2 linked regions of the Arabidopsis thaliana genome follow. The protein of the gene in region 1 interacts with the protein of each later gene in a pairwise test. Each region holds a gene or a part of one and is shown on either strand. Other genes may lie near its edges.

The links.
Region 2: the proteins of DEL2 (region 1) and CAK1AT interact in a two-hybrid assay, tested with the Arabidopsis thaliana proteins (one large-scale study listed by BioGRID).

What each region holds. Positions count from the first base shown.
Region 1 is NC_003076.8:4,842,020-4,847,279, forward strand, and holds DEL2 (DP-E2F-like 2), read left to right. Parts: upstream 1-1,835; 5' UTR 1,836-1,946; coding exon 1,947-2,017; intron 2,018-2,121; coding exon 2,122-2,189; intron 2,190-2,349; coding exon 2,350-2,402; intron 2,403-2,509; coding exon 2,510-2,587; intron 2,588-2,666; exon of another isoform or gene 2,667-2,688; coding exon 2,689-2,745; intron 2,746-2,823; coding exon 2,824-2,902; intron 2,903-3,312; coding exon 3,313-3,380; intron 3,381-3,470; coding exon 3,471-3,540; intron 3,541-3,632; coding exon 3,633-3,694; intron 3,695-3,784; coding exon 3,785-4,184; intron 4,185-4,280; coding exon 4,281-4,354; 3' UTR 4,355-4,645; downstream 4,646-5,260. UniProt on the Arabidopsis thaliana protein: Inhibitor of E2F-dependent regulation of gene expression. Binds specifically the E2 recognition site as a monomer without interacting with DP proteins. May be up-regulating E2FA and down-regulating repressors of cell cycle progression.
Region 2 is NC_003075.7:14,286,334-14,291,413, reverse strand, and holds CAK1AT (CDK-activating kinase 1AT), read right to left. Parts: upstream 3,018-5,080; 5' UTR 2,944-3,017; coding exon 2,443-2,943; intron 2,251-2,442; coding exon 1,312-2,250; 3' UTR 1,298-1,311; exon of another isoform or gene 976-1,297; 3' UTR 501-975; downstream 1-500. Other genes in the region: AT4G28990 (RNA-binding protein-like protein), read right to left, coding at 20-209. UniProt on the Arabidopsis thaliana protein: CDK-activating kinase that modulates CDKD-2 and CDKD-3 activities by phosphorylation of the T-loop. Activates CDKD-2 C-terminal domain (CTD) kinase activity. Activates CDKA-1 probably by phosphorylation.

The sequences.
Region 1 (5,260 bases):
TACTTTTTTTTAAGGCCCAAGTTGGTGAGTAACTTTTTTTGGGGTCGGTTACTGTTGTGGAGTAAGTCTAGTATCTTTACTGGTTTAGATTATTATTAGATAACCCTAAGGTCAGTTTTATAATTATAATTATTATTATATTTAAGAGTTTAATATTTGTATGGTATCATTAGAAAATAGGAAAATTATTAATCATCAAATCTTTGAAAGACTAATGATAAAATTTATTATCTTATAGTATAACTAAATTTTGACTTTTTGTTTCAAAATATTTATAAATGCAGATTTCTACGTTAAAGGTCTAAAAAAACAATTTCTGCAAAAGTCCTAGCTAGATGATCACGTTTTACATACAACTAAAACATCATTAGAACATGTGTATTGCATTGTAGGTCGGTATTGCACGGTATTATTTTATTAGTTTAGTTATGAGAAAACACTTACAATAAAGTTTGTAATTTTGTGATAAATGTAAACTAAAGTATCACTTTTCTATGTTTAGTCAGGAAATTGTTTTGCAAAAATACTCTCCAATATCATGCAAAACATAAGTGATTTCTAAAGCTATATTTTCCTAACAATATTCTCCATGCCGTTGTCTCTTGTCTCATTTGTTCCTTTCATTTGATCGGATCTCAACTACAAGAACATATTAAACTAACTTCCAACACACTGATCGAAAGAGTTTTTGACATTTTTGTTACGTTTTGACGGAATACTACAGTTTTCCACATGTGGATCGCTTGCATAAGACAAAGTTTTGATGGCTTTCACTCGTTCAAAACTATGTGAGACTGAATTATCAGCCAAAAAATCATCAACGTTTACACAAACATAAAATTTAGCATGAGGAACGGGTTTTCCATGTTTCGACAACATGACTTATTGAAAGATAATAGGCAAAATGTTTCCACCATAAAGGGTGGTGCAAGAAAACTTATATTGCTCTTACGGTGAAACCCTAGAACGGCTCAATAAAAGATCTTACCATTTTAACTATTTGAGTTTCTCTTTCGAGGAATAAGAGCCAAATATCCTATCTAAACTTCGGGAACACGATATATTATTTAGAAAGATAAAGCATTTACATAAAACGGTTAAATTTTATACGAAAGTCCTACATGTACACTAATAAAGGGTTGAAAGTCTAAACATTTTTAATGCATATTAACCATTGAAGTTTAAACCGCTGATCAATAACGATGAATTTGATACGTCATGTTAATGAGAAACTTTTCCGCTTCATTGCTTTACTTGCTAAAATCTTTATTCTGAGGAAATATATCAATCTCGTGTTCATATGAATAAATGTGTGACTCATATCATAAAATCCTTTTTAAGTATAAATAAAAAGCGCGTTCTATAGACACACGTAATATTTTTTTTTGAACAATGAATGATGGAAATATCAAATAAGTAACAAAAAGCTCAAGGTATAAAGACACATAAGTTTTTTTTCCAAAAAACTAATGATAGAAATAAGTAACAAAAACGTGAGCTACAGAGACACGTTATATTTTTTTTTGAAAAACTAATGATAGAAAGTATTATCAACATGTAAAAAGAAACCTTATCGAATGGATATCATAAAAAGGACAATAACAACCAAATCTTTTTGCTATAAAATTATGATTACATGATTATTAACATGTTTAAAACCTCTAATTACATAAATATATACACTAAATATTTACAAATTAATTTAAAAGTAATACCTATTAAAGAAAAGTAAAAAATCAAAAAGCAAAGTGTAAAATTAGACAATAACATTTAACCCCGGGAAAACAAGTGATAGTATTTCCTAATTTGAAAAGACCCCGCCTATAATTATAAAAGGTTTCCGAGGTCACAACAAAGCTCAGATCCAAACACAAGTCTTGTCTCTCTTTCTCTCGCAGGTCACCGAGAAAATATCTTTTGTTGTCTCCACCCACCCCACCCAGGTTATGGATTCTCTCGCTCTCGCTCCCCAGGTTTACAGCCGCAAGGACAAATCTCTCGGCGTTCTTGTCGCCAAGTATCTCTCTCTCTCTGTCTATTACGATTCTCCTGATTTTGATTTTTCAAATTCACGTTTCCGTTGAATTTAATATCTACTTACTCTATTTATGTTACTTTCAGTTTCTTGACACTGTATAATCGTCCCGATGTTGATCTATTTGGGCTCGATGATGCCGCCGCGAAATTAGGTGAATTTTATTTATCATGTCTTCCCATTAATTTTGTGTTCGATTGGGTTTTGGATAAATTATATTATGCGTTATCCAATTGATTCTAGAATAAAAAGACAAGAAAATCGCAATATCATTTTGGCTTTGTTTTAATTTTGGTTGGTATCTGAAATTGTAGGAGTTGAACGTCGGCGTATTTATGATGTGGTCAATATATTGGAGAGTATTGGGGTATAATATTTCATGTTTGATGATGTTTTTTTATTTTCATATTGTGTTTGATTGATTTGAAATTTTGAGGTGATTAGTTTTTGTGATGTTGTGTTTTTGTTACACAGCTTGTTGCAAGAAGTGGGAAGAATCAGTATTCGTGGAAAGGTTTTGGAGCTGTTCCTCGTGCTCTATCTGAACTCAAAGTACTTAATAAACGAATCAATCTATATGTTTTTTTGTTTTTGTTTAGCTTCTTCAGGATTGGTTTGGTTGAGTTTTGAGTTTTGTGTCTTTTGTTTTACAGGAAGAGGGAATGAAAGAGAAGTTTGCGATCGTCCCTTTTGTGGCCAAGTCAGAGATGGTAATTTCATATTTCAGTTACTTTGTTGTGCTTATGATTCTGATAAACATCAATGAAACGAGATTCTTATTTGAATAGGTCGTTTATGAGAAAGAAGGAGAAGAATCTTTCATGTTATCTCCTGATGATCAAGAGTTCTCACCATCTCCCAGACCTGGTAATGTCTCTTATGTTGGAGCATCATTGATTATAGTGAAGGGCTTAGTATTAATTACTCTAGGCATTTTCCTTTTTAGTTCATGCATTTACTTTCAGTCTAGGATCCCTTAGTTTATGCTTGTGATTTTTGCATAAGAATGCGCTAGTCAGTGAAATTGTTCAGGATAGGATTCGTGTTGGAAGCTAACTTGGTAATATCTTATGTTGGAACATCATTGATTAGTGATGGACTCAGTATTACTCTATGCATTTTCCTATTTAGTCCATGCATTTACTTTCAGTTTAAAATCTGATACAAATGAAAACTAGTCCTTGTTTGTGATTTTTGCATAAGAATACTCTAGTCAGTGAAATTGTTCAGGATAGGATTCGTGTTGGAAGCTAACTAGTTGTTTTTGCTATTTTTAGACAACAGGAAGGAGAGAACTCTCTGGCTACTTGCACAGAACTTTGTGAAGCTGTTTTTATGCTCTGATGTAAGTGAATAAGTGTTACGGCATCTCTCTAAACAAGTCTGACCAATGACCAATTTATTGACACCTCTATTGTTGCTACTTTGATGTCAGGATGATCTGGTAACATTTGATAGCGCTACAAAAGCATTGCTGAATGAGTCTCAGGATATGAATATGAGAAGTAATTCTAATTCCTTCCCTTAATCTTTTTTGTTCTCTGATTATTACATACATAAGCAATAACCAAACCCCATTTCTGTAAACTCTAAGCAGAGAAAGTTAGACGCCTTTACGACATTGCAAATGTGTTTTCCTCAATGAAGCTAATCGAGAAGGTACAATTACTATATGAGCCTGTTCCTAAAATATTACAATATGCACAATCTTGGATACTCAAATCTCTCTCATCTTTTGTGTTCATGCAGACTCATGTCCCAGAGACTAAGAAGCCGGCATATAGGTGGTTGGGATCTAAAACCATATTTGAAAACAGATTCATTGATGGTTCTGCAAGCTTATGTGATCGTAATGTGCCTAAAAAGCGGGCATTTGGGACCGAACTCACAAACGTTAACGCAAAGAGAAACAAATCAGGTTGTTCTAAAGAAGACAGCAAGCGTAATGGAAATCAAAACACAAGCATTGTTATCAAGCAAGAACAATGTGATGATGTGAAACCGGACGTGAAGAATTTTGCCTCTGGATCATCCACTCCTGCAGGCACTTCTGAGAGTAACGATATGGGAAACAACATTAGGCCAAGAGGTAGACTTGGAGTTATCGAAGCCCTTTCTACTCTTTACCAACCATCATATTGCAATCCTGGTAAAAAACTAGTTTCTTTCATATATGTTTTCCTTATATCTATAATAATCTGTGGGGACTTTTTACAAACCAAAGTTTTTTTTTTTTGGTGAACAGAGTTACTTGGTCTTTTTGCGCATTACAACGAGACATTTAGGTCATATCAAGAAGAGTTTGGTCGGGAGAAATGACTTAATCATCAGGTAGATTAACTTGCGGGGCGTAACTTCAATTCTCTAATCACAAGCCAAATTTCTTTTGCTCATTTGCGTTAAACTACAGAAAAACTCTTACAATAGAGATTATTACATGCAAATCGAAGCGTTATCTTTTGGTTTTTTGTAGAAAAAAATAAAAACTTAAAGTAGCTAACCGTGTAGTTTTAATTTTCTAGCGTTCCTTTATTGTTACAATTTACAAATGGATACCATTTCAGTTCTATGATTATATATCTATGTTGAAAGGAATTTTTAAAAGCACAAAAAGTTTAAACTTTAATCTGTTAATGCTTTTGTCGTTTGGTATGGTTCAATTTTTATCCTTAACTAATGGTAACTGCTGAATTTGGTTGAACTAGCTAAATTGGCTGGAATTGGAATACAAGTGATACATCATTTGTGGGATTAAGAGAAAAAGCTGATTATGTTTCAAAAACAAGCAAAAAAACTCTTAGCTAGTTCAACCAAATGTAGCGGATCGTTCCATTTAACTAGCTAGTTTTACTATTTTTGGATATTCTATTAAACAAAAATCGAAATATTCAGCCAATTTAGCTAGTTCAACCAAATTCAGTAGTTTATTTTAGTAGAATTTTTAGTAAATAAATTTGTCTTATTTTTGAGATATTTTTAGTTGGTTGATGTGGTTCTAGGAAACTTGTAAAGTAGTAGAAATATATTGAAAAGGGTCAGTTTCTTGATTAGTGTATATATTAATCGACCAAACATAAGAAAAGACCAAAATCTTTGGCTTAGTGGGCTCAGATAAATAAAACGAACGAAGGAAGATTTTTCTTAAATTTAAAGAAAAAATCATAATTATCAAAAATATTTAAGGAAACAAATAAAAAACAAAAAGATTCATCTTCCAATACCCAA
Region 2 (5,080 bases), on another chromosome or scaffold:
GTTTAGAAGAGATACGAACCACCATTGTCACCCTTATACCGATCCGAGCGATTAAACGAAGGCCGGTCACGAGAGACTTCTCCGGGCTCATAGTCTCCGGCGGCGTTGCGGCCGTCTTCTCTGTCGTTGCTTCCGGAGGGACGTACGACGAGACTGCTGATGTGAGGCGGGTGATGTTGCGTCGTCTGCTCTTTTTCTGTCGACCCCATTTCTCTCCGATTGTCAAAACTCACTCCTGGAATTTCTCGATGTCCGTTTCAGAGAAAAAAAACCCTAGGGGAGACTTGGCGATAGATACTGGTAACTGTTATTAATTTATCTTTTGGTCTATCAACTTTTGTCTAATTTTCAATATTGCCCCTTAAGTTTTATATTTAGTATGTTGGACTAGTATGACTGATTCATGGAGTCAAATGTATTGTGGTTCTGGTTTTCTTCTTTTTATAGTAAACAACAGTTCACATTTCTGGAAGAATCAGATTCAGTTATGATTTTTGTGTGTGCTATTTTTGTTGTTTATGATATCAGTTTTGATTATGTAATTTGGGTAACTGAAAATAATTTATCTTAGCAAAAACTGGATGACATATAGGATAGGCTTTTATTCCATGGTCTCATTATTGAAGGGTTGCTACTACACATGTTGATAACTTGATATGAAAAGTTCAAAATTGATCAAAATATAGAAACAATTAAGAAATACAGATCCTAGAAAGCAAAACTCGAGTATATATAGATTTTGTTTCATTGTTACTTCAGATGAAAAATAGGGTAAAGAATGGCCTGGGCAACAAGAAAACTAGCTCTTCAGCTAATAGCTAAAGGCTAACACCGACTTTCCAATTGTAAATGTTACCATTTTCATACGAGGGAGGCAGAGAGAGAGGAACAACACACACACACACACAACACATTTTTGACAAAGTAGGCGAATTCAGGGGAAGTCGGGATGATCAAGATGCTCAACCATGGACTCTGCCAAGGAGAGATAAACACATAAAACTGAGATCGATGAGAGAAACAAAGCGCAAAAAAAAGTTGTGAGATCAATGAGCAAACGAATTTCAAAAGTTTTTGCCGCCATTGATACCTAAACAATGTCCTAACGAAAAGTTAACAATTTTCTAAGCGGTATTCTGTAACAAGATCTTCAAACAACAAAGAGTGTTGCATCAATCAAGACCTAAAGAAACACATGTCAGGTTTTGGTATATACCCATTCTCTTTGAAGAAGAAAGAGAGAGAGAGAAGAGACTGATTTATGTGTTTAAGCGAGCCAGAGCTTTTGACTGCGTACCTTAAATGCCAAGGTCAGGGGAATTCTATTGTAAATCCACTACTGGTAGGCTTTACATTCATGGGTCCAAAGCCATCAAAATCTGAATCTGAATCCATTTCTCTGTAATCATTCCACTTTCTCGGAGAATCCTCATCTGGTCCACTCATTGTCGGAGGCACATAGAGCTCTGAAACTGGAACTGGAAGAGGCTCTTCACTTAAATATTTGTCATTCAGCATCTCCATAGTAGTAGCTCTACTAGCTGGATCATAACAGATAAGCTTCTTGAGCAGCGATATCACATCCCCTGAATGGTTGGGAAGGCATCCTTCAATACCAAGAGGAGATTCTACTTTAGCAAATGAGATTGACTTGTAGTCTGGAAGATCAACACAACCAGGCCAGACCTCTTCATTTAAATTTCCCAGCACATTGGTCACTCTGCTGATCTGATCAATATCTGAAATTCCTGGGAACAAAGGCTCAAGAGACAAGAGTTCTGCAAACACACAACCAAGCGACCATAGATCGACCTCTAACCCATACATCGTAGATCCATAGAGCAGTTCTGGTGGCCTAAACCATCGGGTTCCCACACAAGATGTCATCAAACCCTGTGTATCATCCACTGCTTCGTCAGCATCGTAAGAAAACGAGTTCCTACCGAGATCATCATCCATTTCACTAACAGTGCACGTTGCAAGGCAAGATATGTCTCCATCATGCACATTCGAGTCCTTATCAGTATCATCTCTAACAACCTGTTTAGCCTTGAGCTCTTCCACCTGTCGGAAGTACTCGTCTTTACTCATCGCTTCCCGTTCCTGACCATCAGACCCTTGCCTAGGTGAGTTCTCATAATCAGGAATAACTTCTGGTGGTTCGCTGGTTTCTCCATCTTTGTCTTCCAGTTTGTAAGCTTGTTGGTTTTCATCTGAAGCTACAATATCATGCTCCATGAGTATCCTAGCCTGTATATGAACCAAGAAGCCAACACACATTTAGAAACTCATAGATTACACTAAATGATAAGGTCTAGCCACTTGATTACACTAACTCTTCCAAATTTCAAGCAAACCAAGCATTTTTCATTCAGAGGTTTCTCATATTTGTGCATCAAACAATGAAATAACTAACACAATCAGTAACAATCATAATCTCACCTGACCAAAATCAGCAAGCTTAAGAACTCCATCATCAGAAATCAACATATTCCCAGGCTTCAAATCTCTATGTACAATCAAATTCCGATGACAAGCATCAACACCGGTTAAAATCTGAATCATCCATCTCTTAATCTCCCCAACCGAGAATCCATCCCCTCCTTCTACCTTCTTCTTCCTCTTACCATCTCGGATCACCGCAGCGAGATCCGACCTAAGAAACTCAAGCACAAGCACAGCGTTCTCTTCCTCACGCCAGAAGTATTCGTGCATAACAACTACATTAGGAGATCCATTGAGGATGGTGAGCGCGTCAATCTCCCGGAACGCAGATTGGTAATCGAAAATCTCCTTGAGCGCGACGATTAGACCGTCGGAGAGACGGCGAGCTCTGTAAACGTCGGCGTAAGCTCCGGATCCGACTCGCTCGAAGATCTCGTACTTGGCGATTATCTCCGGCCGGGTATGGATACTCCAACTGGTCGCCGGTTGTTTATCCATCTCCTTTAAAACGGCGTCGCTTTTCTTCGGATCTTTCCTGATGATGGATGATTATTCACATAAACGCTAACGAATTCACCAGTTTAAAAATCCAGTTCCCATGTTGTAATGACTAAAATGCCCTCACAAGTTTTGGAGCGGACAAGAAACCAAACCGCAGGGGGGGACTTTTATCACTTATGCCACTTTTTTGAAAAAACTGATCTGGACTGCCATAAGTTAATCTGAATGCCACCGAAAATGTGATATACCAGTTGTACCCTTAATGAGTTGATTAAAAAAATGAAAAAGAAATTCAAAAGCTAAATAAAGAAAATCGAGTTCGGAGATTCTCCTCTTCGTCGTCGTGTTCTTCTTCTTTGGTCGACGTTCATCTTCTTCGTCGGCCACCATCGATTTCCTCATGCCGCCGACTTGAAATCCGGCGTAAAAGCCACGAATTAGGTCAGTTTCTTCTCATATTTCCTTTGACATTGGTGCATTGTGATTTTAGATTGGGATTTTGAATTCTATATAATTCCCAGCTCGATTCAATTTGATAGTTTGATGATTGGTTTGCAAAGTAAAGAGTAATCGATTAGAGGTTGCCGAAACGTTATTTGAGGTGATGAGCAAAGGAATGTAGGTTGAATGTGAGTTGAATTTGAATTCCGAGATTTCATATTAAAGATTTGGGGGGTTTGTGTTTGCAAAGTTTAGATTAACCAATTAGTTTAACGAATAGGTATGTATTAACATTGGAAATCAATTGAAAGGTAACGAATTAGGTTCAGTAGAGACGAGTGCGACGAGAGATTGATTTCAACGTATGATAAGAGTACATGTGGTATAACTATTAAAATGTTTGATTGGAGTTGAACTGGTTGTATTTTCAGGAGCGATGAAGAAGAAGATCCACACTAAGGTACATTTTGACTTTGGAGGATACTATTCTGAAGTGAATGAGTGGATTGGTAAAAATTCACTATATGTTATATCGTTTAAGACGAGTAGTTTGGAGAAGATTAGCTATTCGATGTTAGTTGACAAGATCATGAAGAAGGTTGCGATTGATGAAGCTTCTGTCAAGTTGAAACTGAGTTACAATCTGTCTAAAGTTAGGAGAGAGACATATATTGTAAATGATGAGGATGTCTTCATATTTTTAACAGAATCTGATGAAGAGAGTCGGATTCCTGTTTTGCATGTGGAGGAATTAAATGGTATAGGAGTTGAGAGGAGAGAGGAAATTTCTGTACCGGAGCGTCGAAGTTCAGTTGGTGTAAATGTAATAGAGGATGATGTTTTAAATGAAGTATGTGAGATGGTGCATGATGGATATGATAATGATGTGAATGATTGTGAGAATGTAGTAGGTACGGAGATCGTGGCTATCGAAAGGCCGATGGAAAGGCCGGTGAATTCTGTTGAGGAACAAGATGAGGATGATAGGATTGATTATGATGATATTCACGATATTCCACGAAGTGTAGAAGTTACTCCGCAGGTTATAGAATGGGATGATGGTACGGGTATTGAAATTGGTCAAGAATTTTGTTCAAGGGAGGCTGTGTGGGAATTGGTTAACAGAGCTGCAAAGAAAGAAGTTTTTGGAGTCTATACTATTAAGTCAGACCCGTTGAGACTTATGCTACGATGCCGCCAAGCTTCTAAAGGGTGTACTTGGTATCTAAGAGTTGCGAGAACTAAAAAATCTCATTTTTGGAGTGTTAGAGTGCATAGAAAGATGCATACATGCTCTCGGAGTGTTGAGACTACAAGCAACAGTATACAGCGAGGCACACCAAGATTAATAGCATCGGTTTTACATTGTGATTATCCCGGAAATTTAGAGACCCCAACTCCAAAAAACATTATGTCGATTGTAAGAGGAAGACTTGGGGTGCATTGTTCATACTCCACTGCCTTAAGAGGCAAAATGCTACATGTTAGTGATGTGCGAGGGACTCCGGAAAGAAGCTACACGATGTTATTTTCTTATCTTTACATGTTAGAGAAGGTAAATCCAGGGACAGTAACTTATGTGGAGTTGGAAGGAGAGAAAAAGTTCAAGTACCTCTTCATTGCATTAGGCGCTTGCATTGAAGGTTTTAGGGCAATGCGGAAAGTGATAGTTGTGGATGCAACTCATCTTAAA